Oryctolagus cuniculus: one gene and its partners. The protein of the gene in region 1 interacts with the protein of each later gene in a pairwise test. Links are inferred from orthologs where the notes say so. Each region holds a gene or a part of one and is shown in the gene's direction. Other genes may lie near its edges.

Region 1 (3,749 bases):
CTCTGATGAGGCTGGAGCCCCTGTCTCCGCGCACCCACAGCCACGCTGGAGGCTCAGGGAGTGGTTCTAGCAGTTCTGGGGCGGATGGGGAGCCCTGGGGGGGTCAGGTGAGTGCGAGAGGCGCAACCCGCAGCATCCAGGCAGGGGAGACCCGGATCCTGGCTCTGGGGGGTTGCATGGCCCTGGGTTCTCGGTGGCCATCTGGCTGGCTCAGGGCACACGTCCTCCCTGCAGGACTCCCTCTCCCTGGCTCACCCGCTGCTCCGGCGCATCCGGAGTGACTCCAGTGTGCACATCCTGGGCTCTCTCCCCTCGCGACCCCTGGCCCCCGAGATGCAGATCCTGGAGGCCCAGATGGAACAGCTCCGCGGGTGAGCGCCACCACTGCTGAGCTTTTAAGGGCACCGGCCGCTGTCCTGCCGCCCCGGGGATGGGCGTCTAAGCCCCGGGGATGGGCGTCTAAACGGGGTAGGAGCGGGGTGGAAACTGGCCCCTGGCTGCTCCCCCCCTCCAAAGAGTCCCCTCGTTTTCCCTCTCCCTCCCCCACCCCGAGACAGAAACATCGAGAAGCTCAAATGCTTCAACCGGCTGCTACTGGCCGTGCTGCAAGGGCGCAAGGGCCGGTGTGAGAGCCTCAGCATGCGGCTGAGCCAGCGGGAAGCCGAGGCTACAGCCCTGCGGCTGGCGCTGCAGGACAGGTCAGGGGAGAGGTCCCCGCGGGGGAGGGGCCGCGAGCCACGGCGTGGGAGGGCGCTCAGGACCCCCGTCCCGCAGTGAGCACCGTGAGGCCGTGTGCGCGGCTCTCCTGGCCCTGCACGAGGCCAGCTCCGGAGCGCGGGACTTGGAGGCCACTGAGAGGGAGGCGTGGCGGCTGCTGGCACAGGAGGAGGGCGGCGCAGACGCCGCGGCACCGCGGAAGGCACAGCCAAGGTAGGCGCCCGGGGACCGCGCTGGGCCTTGGGGCTCCCCGGGGCTGGCCTCCGTGATGGCCTGCGGCACCCACTCCTCCTCTCCTCCCGCAGCCCCGAGGGCAGCAGTGTGGATAAACCCACACCGCAGGAAGTGGCCGCCCTGCTGCAGGGCTATGCCCGGCGTCTGCGGCAGCGCCAGGCTCTGGTGAAGACCCCCCCAGAGCCGGGCCCCACCGTGGAGCCCACGCCCACCATGCCCCACGCAGAAGCCATGGTGCAGGCCATGCTGGAAGCCCAGCCCGGCCCGGCCCTGCCGCGGTTGGAGAAGATGGAGATACAGAGGGAACTGGTGGCCACACGGGTACACAGGGGCTGTGGTCCCTGGGGGGGGGGGGTCAGAACCGACAGAGGTGTGGTTGGGATGGGGAGGGGGAAAGGTTCTGCTGGGCTGGGAAGGGCTTCCTGGAGGGAGAATTGAAGCTGGGGTTTTGAGGGATGAATAGGAGTTTTGTTACTCACAGACCTCTCAATCCAGTTTTTCCCAAACGTGCTCGCCAGCCTCAGTTTCCCCTCCCCGACCCCTCAGGAGACCCTGGCGGACCTGATGTTGCAGCTGCAGCTGGTGCGGCGGGAGAAGCGGGGCCTGGAGCTGCGGGAGGCGGCGCTGCGCGCCCAGGGCCCCGCCCACGCACTCCTGCTGGAGCAGCTACAGTGGGAGCGCGCGCAGCTGGGAGCCGCGGGGCCCCACAGCGGCGCGGGGGACAGCAGCGGGGCGGGCAGCAGCGAGGAGGAGGAGGAGGAGCGGCCCCAGGTGAGCGGCCCTTCGGGGGTCGCTGCCCTTGGCCCCTAGGGGTTCAGTGGATGAGAGAGAGAGAGGGAGAGAGGTCTTCCATCTGCCGGTTCACTCCCCACATGGCTGCAAAGGCCGGGTCTGGGCCAGGAGCCGGGAGCTCCATCCGGGTCTCCCACGTGGGCGGCAGGACCCAAGCCCTGGAGTCGTGGGCCCCTGCCTCCCAGGGGGCGCATGCGCAGGGAGCTGGGGCGCACGCAGATCAGCTGGGACGCCACCAACACTCTGATACGGCCACGGCTGTCCCAGGCAGCAGCCCGCCCCGCGGTGCCACCACACCGCCCCTGCCCCAGGCTTCTAAACGGGGCTCTTCGCATCACCCCTCCCACCTGCAAGCCGGTGCTGCCACCAGGAATGTCCACCGTCTCCAGGAAGCCCTCCTGGGTTGCCCTCAAAGGAGCAATATTCGGCACCCCACCCCACCCCGGCCCTGTGACTTATCTCCCTTATCAGGGACTTGAGGGTCTCTTAGCAGAATGGGGGCTCTGGGAAGCGAGGGGCTCTGGCTGCCCCCCCCCCAGGCCAGCTTCTATGCCCAGGCTGGGCTGAGCACTTCTAGACAGAGGTCACCTCCCTCCCTTCTGTCTCCTACAGGGTCCTCCTGCTGTCCCCAACGCCACCGAGGGAGGCCAGGTGGGCAGGGCGTGGGACCCGGAGAGGTTAGCCCAGGAGCTGGCCGCTTCGCTCGCCAGGTGTGTGCCTGGGTGGGTTCTGCGGAGGAGGCGGGGGTGGGGACGTGTGTGTGTGTGTGTGTGTGTGTGTGTGTGTGTGGTGTGGCAGCGTGCGCCTGCGCGCAGGGGCGTGGGGAGCGGAGAGGAGGACCGGGTCGGGCCGCGGCCGGAGCCCCGCTGTCTCCACTCCCGCGCCAGGGCCGCGGATCTTCGCGCTCAGCTGCGGGCTCTGTGGCGGGAGCTGGAGCAGGTGGCTCAGAAGGGGCGCGTCCGGCGGGCTCAGAGCGCCGAGCTGAACAGCGATCTATGCAAGGCGCACAGGTGGGCCGCCGCCCCCCGCAGCCCACCCCTGCTGACCGCGGGTGTGTCCCTGGGCCTCGTTCCCCCCACTTGGAAGATAGTGAGCGGGTGCAGTGCAGGCCACGCCTTTCCTGCAGGATGCCCGGAGCCAGCTAGGACGTAGCCCCGCCCCCGCGGCGCCCCGCCCCGCCCCCGCCGCAGCCCTGGGTGGGGTGGGGGTGCTGTTCTCTGGGGTGGGGCGCTGTTCCCCGGCTCAGCCACCCACACCCTGCAGTGCCCTGGTCCTGGCGTTCAGAGGCGCCCACCGGAAGCAGGAGGAGCAGCGGCGCAAGTTGGAGGAGCAGGTGGCAATCCTGGAGGCCCGGCAGGCGGAGGAGTTGGCAGCACTGGAAGCCACGGCCCGGGCGCTGGAACAGCCCGGGTGCCCCTGCCCGCCTCCTCCCCCCCAGCTTGGGGAGACCTTGCTGTAGGCTCCACCCCCAGCCACGTGTCATAAACCGGCCTGGAGTGACTTGTCGCCCTGGGGTGCATGTGTCCTCATGGGTGGGGACCGGTTGCCTGGGCCACCGGGGTCAGGCTGTGAAGGTCATGGTCTCCCCCTCCCCCCCCCGGGACCCGGAACAATCAATCCAGGGGACAGGGAAGGTGGCAGAGCCCGAGCTGATGTCCCCAAGTCCTTTCTTTGTCCAGAAACCCAGGGCGGGCCCCTGGGGACAGGACACTCGTCCCCTGCCCATCTGCTTCCCAGGGAACAATCCAGAACAACTGGAGGCCCCCAAGGTTGGGGTTCAGGTTCAGGTTCAAGGCGTGGATGGTCGGCTGGAAGAGGAATCAGGGTTTGTGGAGGCTGAGGGCAGGCATCAGAGAAAAGTCTGGAACTCTCGATGCGTGTCCTTCCGGGGAGGGGGTGGGGCACAGGCCTGCCGGGCCCTGGGCAGCCTGGGAGCTTCCAGATCTCCCGCGGAGGTTGGGGGCAGCGGGAGGCGTTCCTGCCAGGTTAATTGCAGGCGACTGATT
Region 2 (4,244 bases), on another chromosome or scaffold:
GTCGGCCGTGACGTCATTCACTCCGCTAATGCTCATTCCTCTGCTGCTACCAGTTTAACAACTAACACAGGCGAATGCTGTTCTACACTCAGGGGATCAAGGGAGGAACGAGACTGCTGAGGCCCAGCCTTCTCGGGGCTGCCACCCAGGCAGGGGACTCAGATGGTGAACACAGAAATAGTACCAGTTCAGCTGCTGAACAGGCACCAATAATATTAGTGATAATAAAAACAGCTTATGGGGCTCTTTCCACACAAGGTCAGAGAAGCCGCCTAGAGGAGGTGATAGTTGAGCCTGAAGGCAAAAAGGAGGAAAACTTCAGGCAAAGATCAGAAATGAGGAGTAGGGAGCAGAAGGAAACATTCAGGCAGAGAAGAGCAGGTGCAAAGGTCCTGGGGTAGCAGGGAATGAGTTTCGGGGAGAGCGGGGAGTGGCAATGAGGTTCTAGCCCAGGCCAGCAAGCCCTGTCAGACCAGACCATGTGGCCCATCAGCACAGCCGGATCCTTGACCCTCCCCCACCCACTGCCAGTCCATACACCATCTATGGCTGTACTGTGGGTACCTACTGTTAGAAGAGGGAGGCTGACCATGCACCTCTGGGGACAGTGTCTGTGTGGATCAAACTGGTCGTCCAGGACTCCCCAGGGTGACGCGGAATAGCATGGCAACACCTCTCCTGACTCAGTGGAGGCTCACAGCCCTGCAGACACACCACTCCGTGACTGCCTGGATGCACCCCTCACCCCGAGGGGCAGGGTCGATGCCATCCCCTCTGGTTAAGCATGACATTGTAAAACGGGCAGCAACATGATCTGGTTCAGGACACACCAAACCGCCGGCTGCAGCAGCACACACACGCCCTCCCCACCCCCCTTTCCGCCGCTGGCGGCAGGACTGGCTCTCTGACCTACCCCACTCGGAACAAGAGACAGAGGCTCAGGGAGATCCCATCCCATCCCCAGGGCACACAGCTGTGGGGGACGGAGCTAGGATCCAAGCCCCAGTGACAGTGACAGCAGCTTCATCTCTGCCCCACACGGGTGTGGCAAGGCGAGGGAGGGGGGTGGCAAGGGAAAGGAGGGTGCACCTGGGCGCTGTGGTTTGGAGCCTGGAATCTGGGCTCCAGGCATCGTCCTGGCCGGAGCAGGCGGGACACGCCACCCGCCTCCCGCCTCCCGCTGAATGAACGAGTCAGCCCAGACTCCAGGATCTGTAATGAGTGATGCTGCCCAGCCCGAGGTGGATGGCGCCACACAAGCCCGCCCCGAGCCCTGCACCCTGGCCGCCCCCAGCAGCCTCCACCGTCTGGCCCTGTCTGCTGAGCCCTGTCCAGCCAGGCAAGCAGGCCAAGTCCTGCCCGCTGGGCCAGCCAGAGGTCACCCTCCACCCACAGCGAGAGCACTGCCAGCTGCTCGCCCGGGGCTCTCGGGGCCTCAGTTTCCCTTCCTGAGAGACGCAGGGGTCTGGGAGGGAAGGAGCTGCAAAGGGGACGTGGAGGGCATGGGGGCAGCCTGGGGACACTGGCCCCTCTGTCAGGATCAATCTCCCTAAGCCTGTCTGAGGCGCTGCAGGCTTAGGAGCCGCTGTGAAAGCCGTCCTTGTGCCTGGGAGAATGAAGCTCAAGAGGAAGGGGGCCCCTGGCCCCCGGGGCCCCTCGGGCCCTGGCTCCTGAGATCAGCGCCAGCAGGGAAGACCCCAGCCAGGCCCCTGCGGCCCACCCAAGCCTGGTGCCTGCTTCGTGCCATGGGAGCGGTCCAGGGGAAGAAGGTAAGAGCCCCCTCCCCTCCTACTAGGGACCTGGACATGGCAGGGGGGATGGGGGCGGAGGGAGAGACACGGGACCCCCACCCACCTTGGAGCCAGCTCTGCCTCTCAGCTCCCAGCCAGGATTTGCATCTGGAAAGCTGGTTGGGGCTCAGGGCAAAGCCGGCATCCTAGGGGTAGCCTGAGATCCCATGTCCCTGAACACAGATCCCTGGCCACCCTCTCCCCATGGCCCAGGGGCAGTGGCCAGCACAGGTGATACAGGGAAAAAGATTAAAAAATATTCATGACGATGATAAAGCCGGCCAACCGGCTGCTGTCGGCGGTGGGGGATGGGCAGGTGACTTCAGTTTTTGTCCCTCAGTTCCTCATCTGTAAAATACACACGGTGCACAGCCACTGCCCCCGGAGGCTCCTCGCGAACAAGTACCAGAGGGTGTAGGACAGCACCTGGGCGTGGCGGCTCTGGGCACGCATGCGTTCTGTGATCGTCAGGCTGCTACTGGTGCTGTGATTCACAGGCTCTCTGATGGGGGGTGTGGGGGCTGTCCTTGTGGCCCGTGCGGCTGATTTACGGGGTGTAGCACGGTGGGAGTTCATCAGTCCTCCTCCAGGTCCTCCCCCACACCTTTTGCACCCAAGGCTCTTGGGGAGAGGCTCTGTGTTTATTCACCCTCTCACGGCCCACAGGGTCCCAGGCCTGCAGGTCAGCCCGGTGGTCAGGCTGCCAGGGCCCACCCACCATGGCAGGACCTGCACCTGCTCTGGCCCCTGGGCCCCTGTCTGTACAATGGGCTGGCAGGTGCCTGTGAAGTGCTGAGCCCACTGCCTGACACACAGCGGACCCTTCTGGACAGGGGGCTCTGACCCTCACACACCCGAGACGACCTACTGCAGTAAGGATGTGGTGACACAGGGACGGGCGGTCAGTGTGGTGATGACATCACCACCCGGGACAGCTGCATCCCACATCAGAGTGCCTGGGTTCGAGTCCCAGCTCCACTCCATTGCAGCTTCCTGCTCATGCGCACCCTGGTAGGTCACAGGTGGGAGACCTGGAGGGAGCTCCAGGCTCCTGGCTTCTGCCTGGCCCAGTCCCAGCTATATTGTAGGTATTTGGGCCAGCAGATGGGAGAACTCTCAATCAATCAATCTTTCTCTCCCCCCCTCCTTTCTTTCTCAGTCTCTCTCTCTCAAATAAATAATTTTTAAAAAGGATGAGGGAACTCAGGCTCAGAGGAAAGAAGTGAATTTTATTATTTATTTATTTATTTGGGCAGCAGAGAGACTAAGAAGACAGACAGGGGCGGCCTATGTCCCAAGTGGTAGCTTCACCCCGTTCCAAATTCCCACCCTGAGAACGATTTCTCACCCAGGGTCACGGAGCCCACGTACGCAGAGGGCGGGATTTTTGACCCCAGTCTCCCCAACCCCAAACTTCCAGGTGCCCAGCTCATCCCCTCCCTCCTGGTCCGTAACTGTCCACTGCATCTACACTCGCCTCCACCCCACCCACCCACAGGACCCTGTTCTCTGGGCACCGGCTGGGAGCCTGAGGTGAGCAAGGGTCCAAGCCACGCAGGACCCCCTGCAGCAGCTCACCTGGCCTCCCGGAGCCTCCCACAGCAGGACGAGCAAGGTGCCTGGCTCACAGCAGGTGCTCGGGGCAGTGGGTGCCAATGGCTGCTGTAGGGGCTTCAGGGGCAGCAGCCGCAGGGCCGGGGGTGGCCCCGTCTCCAAGCCCTCGGGGTCAGCCTCCGAAGGCTGGGTCACGTACATTCTCTGCAACATCTCCCGAGGCTCACGCCATCCCGTTCTTCACATCCCCAAAGGGTGCCAGCTGCCAACCCCGGCCAGGTTTACCGAGACACTCATCGCTGTGCATTTGTGGCCACTGAAACACACAGAGCGTGGGGGGCGGGGGGGTGAGGGGGACATGGGTAAAACGGCTGCATTTGCTGAGCAGCCTGAAGGGAGGTTTGCTTCTGATGGAGCCCCCAGATGCACGCACCTGGCTGGGCCCTGCTGGCTGCCCAGTTATCCCCACTCATGATGGATGGGCCCAGCCGGACACAGGGAAGGTTCCGGCTCCTGGCTGCCCAGCTTAGCAGCGTAGGATCGCCTCACCAAGAACCCCAGGACCCCCACAGCATCTCCTGTCTGCACCCCACTCCACAGTGCCGTGGGGAGTCCTGGCCTCCAGCAGGAGCCCAGGGGAGGGAACAGAGAGTGGCCCCGGCCCCCAGCAGAGCCGAGCCCCTCTTGTGCCTGCAGCCCCTCACCCAGCCTGGGTACGTGGGATCAGTCCACTTCTCCACCTGCATGGCTCGTCCAGTGGCCTGCAGAGAATGCCCCTGCGCTCACGACCACTCTCCCACACCCACTGCCCTCTGGGCCCAGGGCCCCACATACACACGCCCACTCTTGTAGGTCTCCAACCACGTGTGCACTGAGTTCCCACTAGGAGATCACAGGGGA
Region 3 (4,310 bases), on another chromosome or scaffold:
GAGCTTTCTGAAGCCCTCCGTATTTGATATGCAAAATTGGAAGTGACCTTCCAGGGCTTTCTCTAAGCAAATCAACACACCCAATTCCTCTTCCTCCCCACCAAAAACTTTTTTTTGGTCTCATTTAGAGAAGATAAATATGATCACGCGAGTTTTATCTCATTATTTTTAAAGACTTATTCATTCGAGAGGCAAAGAGACAGAAAGTGGGAGAAGGAAGCGGGGCGGGGAGGGGGAGAGTTTTCCATCCGCTGGTTCACTCCCCAGATAGCTGCAACAGCCAGTGCTGGTCCTGGTAGACGTCAGGAGCCTGGAGCGCCATCCTGGTTCCCCTTGTGGGTGCAGGGACCCATGCACTCAGGCCATCTCCTGCTGCATTTCCAGGCACATTAGCAGGGAGCTGGATCGGAAGTGGAGCGGCCGGGACTCGAACCAGTGCTTGGATAAGGGATGGCATGCCAAGCTGCAGCTTAAGCTGCTGTGCCACAAGTACCCACCCTTAGCTCATTCTTGTAATTTTTTTTAATAAGAGTGTGTTTGGCTTTTTTCACTTTATTGGGTATTTTCATCTCCTTTTCAGATTGCCTGTTGTCCTTTGATGATTTTTTTTCCTCTAAGAGTGTTTCCCTTGATTTGTAAAAGCCTCAAATAATGAGAAAATGAACAAAACACGTACACCATTGTCCTCATAGGAAAGCAATAGCCCCGGCTTCCGTCTCAAGCCCTGTGCCAGCCCACAACTTTCACCTTCACGACATCACTTTTTTTTTTTTTTTTCTTTTGTCCCTTCTCTGGCCCAGGAAAGCTTTCCTTACCTGTGACTAAGAGTCACCATGAAAAACAGAGTTTTTGTTATATCCGCGACTGTCTTTGGTTTTCCCTATGGGGAAGGGTCTATCCGTGCCCAGACTATGAAGTCGGTAATGCCATTCTTGTTCCATGGCCGTAGATCCTGAGGCTCAGATCCAAGAGGCATGGTCCTGCTGGGGAGTAGTGGAGTTGGGCCTGGCCCGGTGGTCCCGGGTTGGCTCCGGTCCTGTTGGCCCCCTACCTCAGGGCCAGAGTGGACTCTGAAAATGACAAACAAGGCATCAGGGAACCTGGACAGGGCTGGAGGCTTCACAGAGCCCTTCTCCCGGGCTCTTGGCCTAGGAGGCTGCTGTAACGACCACTGATGACCCCAGTCCACCACCGCCGCCCACTGGGAAGCTGATCCCAGAAAGGTCAGAGGCTGGGGCTGGCGGGGTCACAGACTGGAAGGTGGAAACTGGCATATACTGAGCACCCACTGGGTGCCAGACCTTGGAAATATCAGAGGTTAGGGGTGACTGGCTCAAGCTCTGCCCAAAGCAGGCGCCTGTCACACAAGCAGGTGACACCCTGATGGGGGTATTGTCTCCCAGTGGTGCCGTCAAAGCTGTGGCTCTGGCTCGCAAGGTCCCCGCAGCACAGGTGCGGACCACGGCTCCAGGGGCCGGACCGAGCCGGGTCGGGGCGGGGGGTGGGGGGGTGGGTAGCAGCTTCTCTCTGGTCCCCTGGCTCTCGGAGAATGGGGCGGGGCGGAGCGAAACCCTGCCCAGCGAGGGAGGAACCAAGGCAGACCACGCCCCCACAACCATTGTGTCGGGGGAGTTAGCGGGCGACCGTCCCAGTGTAAGCCAATCAGAGCTCGGTATGCAAATTAGTGAGCTGGGCGGCCGCCTGGAGACTCGAAGCGGTCCGCGCCGCTGCCCTCCCTCCGGCGGGCGCACGGGGCGCAGGACCGCGCGCGGCAGAGCCGGGGTCTCAGGTGAGCGGGTGGGTGGGCCGGGGCCGGGAGCAGAGGCCGGGTCACGCGGGGTCTGGGAGCGCACTCAAACCCAGAGATGCTCGGAGGCACGATTTCTGACGCTCTTCGGAGGACCCCCCACCCCAATACACACACACACACACACACACATACTCCAGGCTCATCAGACTGTCCGCAGATGCCTGGGGATCGCGGGGTGCGGGGAGACTGTCCCCCTGGAGCCTGGATAGACCCTCACAGCCGTCTCCCCGTCCTTGCGCGCAGTGCTGTGGATCGCAAAGAGAGGAAGCCGGCAGGGGGCCTGGCCACCCGCACCATGGCCAGCTTCCGCTACCACTCGGGATACTTGGCCGACGATGAGGCCGGCCACAGTCCCTATGTGGCCCGGGTAAGTGATCCCCCGCAGGACGCTGACCCCAGGGATCCCTGTGCGTTCCCCCTGAAACCACAGCCCCCTTGCTCGGTGCCTGTGGGCCTCCTTAAGCAGCCGTTGCCGCTGCCTTGTCCTTGCCCGGGGCCCTCCTGGGGCCTCATCACCCCCCACTTCCCTTCCCCGTGTCCCCCGCTGACCTCCAGCGACCCCAGGAGGGGTCCTCGGGGCCTAGGGCTCAAGGTGAAGAAGTAGGTGCTCCGGACAGGGGCGACGGAGCTGGCCTTGGGCATATGGGGAGCCAGGGTCCTCTTCGCCCTGTAAAAGGTGTCCCTGCCCACTACCCACTGTGCTCTGCCTGTCTGCCCAGGTGCAGTCTCTCAAGAAACCCCCATTGCCACAAATGGGGTCGGCCCGTGTGCCACCCCCGCGGTTCACGCAGGGCACCTCAGCGCAGCCAGGTCCCCACCGAGACACCAAGGGCCCCCAGTCCTTCGGCAGCTTCCTGGATTTCCTGACCGAGGGTCAGGTGCTCGAGAGCCTGCAGACGGTGGTAGAGGAGGCCACGGAGCGCATGGCCACCATGAAGACGGGGGCTGGCGTGCCGCTGGTGGAGGTGCGAGATCCAGTGGTGGAGCCTGCCAGCGGAGGGCGGCGGCCCCGGGCCCGGCCCACCTGGAGCACGGTCTGCCGGAACCGCGCTCAGCCCAGCCTGTGTGTTGGCCGCCCCAACAACTATCCATCCCGCTCCAGCTCCGTGTCGGACTCCCGCAGCAGCCTCACTGCTGGCTGGCTGGGGTCCCATGGCCAGGGCAGTGACCTGGGGGCCCGAGGCTCAGGCTCCCTGCCCCCTCTGAAAGACAGGCTTTTGCTGGAGCAGAGCCTCAAGCGGTTACTGAAACTGGAGAGGAAAGGGGTGAGATCCGAGGGCAAGGCTTGGCGGGGTGGGGATGCGGTGGGGTGGGGCGGAGACTGGGGCGGGAGGGGCTGGCGGCTTGGCAGGATCCTGGGCAAGTGTGATTCCCCCTCTCTCCGCAGAAAAGCAGGAGTCAGCCCTCCCGGAAGGACTCCCTGCGGTGGGATTCCCTGGGCAGCCAGACCACCAGCCAGTGGTCCCCGGAGCAGCCCCTGTCCTGGTTCTCAGACCTGCTGAGTTCCAGCACGGGCACCCCGGAAGCATCAGGGCAGACGCCCAGTGAGGAGGAGCTGAGCTTCCTCAAGCAGGAGTTCGACAAAAAGCTCATGGCGCTACTGAGCCAGCCGGCGGCCCTCGACCTGCCTGGCTACTGCTCGCTGCGCCAGCCCCACTGCACCCTGGACTTTCTGGCTCAGCATCACCTGTTCCCCGCGCTGCAGAGCGTGGTCAGCCAAGCTGTGGACAAGCTCAGCGGTGCCCGGCGGCACGACGGCTGCCCACTCTTCCCCGCCAACGCGGAGGCCTCATCAGAGCTGCCCCTCCACTACAATCTGCTGCCCCCAGGCTCCCAGCTGGCCTCGCCCACCGACAAGGAGGAGGCAGCATCCCCCAACACCACCACCTCCATCCCCAGGACGGAGCGCAGGAAAAGCAAGGGCACACGGGGCTCCCCCTCCATGACTAGTGCCACCAGATTCAAGCTCAAGGTGACACCCACGGGAGAGCCCGCTGTCCCAAGCCTCTCACATCACCCCAAGCAGGAGGGGCCTGTCTCAGAGCCCGAATCCCAGAAACCGCCTGTGTCCCTGAGCTCCAGCCACAGGGCCCGGCCCTGGCGGGGCCTGCACCTCACGCTGCCAGCCCCTGGGGTCACGGTGGAGGTGGCCTCCAGCCATGGGCGCCTCAGGGGCCCGATCACGCCTCCACCCCTGTCCTCCTGCCCGTCCTCTCCCCGCTACTTCGTCCCCATGCCCTCTCCCACCACATCCTTAGTAAGAAGCCTTTCCCAGTCCTCGGCTTCTCTCTGCCAGGGCTTGCATTCCCTGGGACCTAGACTGTGGGCCAAGGGCTCCTTCACCCACCACTGCTAGCAGCGCTGTCACCAGGCAGGGCGGCCCCAGGGACCAGGCCTCTTGCCCAGTGCTGTTGGAAATCTCCCGGGCAGGGGACAAAAGCCGATGGAGGGTGTTTATCTAAAAAGAAAAAAAAAAAAAAAGAAGAAGAAGAATAAAAGT

Evidence for each region.
Region 2: the proteins of USHBP1 (region 1) and FAM107A interact in binary tests that used the Homo sapiens proteins (3 or more experiments, as listed by UniProt). The two-hybrid records come from large-scale screens. The link is inferred for Oryctolagus cuniculus from reciprocal best matches to the Homo sapiens genes USHBP1 and FAM107A.
Region 3: the proteins of USHBP1 (region 1) and CCDC116 interact in binary tests that used the Homo sapiens proteins (3 or more experiments, as listed by UniProt). The two-hybrid records come from large-scale screens. The link is inferred for Oryctolagus cuniculus from reciprocal best matches to the Homo sapiens genes USHBP1 and CCDC116.

Annotation. Positions count from the first base shown.
Region 1 is NC_091447.1:65,254,492-65,258,240, reverse strand, and holds the end of USHBP1 (harmonin-binding protein USHBP1), read left to right. Parts: coding exon 1-107; intron 108-234; coding exon 235-371; intron 372-557; coding exon 558-698; intron 699-774; coding exon 775-930; intron 931-1,022; coding exon 1,023-1,272; intron 1,273-1,497; coding exon 1,498-1,722; intron 1,723-2,355; coding exon 2,356-2,453; intron 2,454-2,630; coding exon 2,631-2,753; intron 2,754-3,006; coding exon 3,007-3,202; 3' UTR 3,203-3,249; downstream 3,250-3,749.
Region 2 is NC_091441.1:91,399,282-91,403,525, forward strand, and holds the start of FAM107A (actin-associated protein FAM107A), read left to right. Parts: upstream 1-1,434; 5' UTR 1,435-1,745; coding exon 1,746-1,769; intron 1,770-4,244. UniProt on the Homo sapiens protein: Stress-inducible actin-binding protein that plays a role in synaptic and cognitive functions by modulating actin filamentous (F-actin) dynamics. Mediates polymerization of globular actin to F-actin. Also binds to, stabilizes and bundles F-actin.
Region 3 is NC_091452.1:29,154,158-29,158,467, reverse strand, and holds the start of CCDC116 (coiled-coil domain-containing protein 116), read left to right. Parts: upstream 1-1,500; 5' UTR 1,501-1,789; intron 1,790-2,053; 5' UTR 2,054-2,105; coding exon 2,106-2,177; intron 2,178-2,529; coding exon 2,530-3,075; intron 3,076-3,197; coding exon 3,198-3,782; intron 3,783-4,310.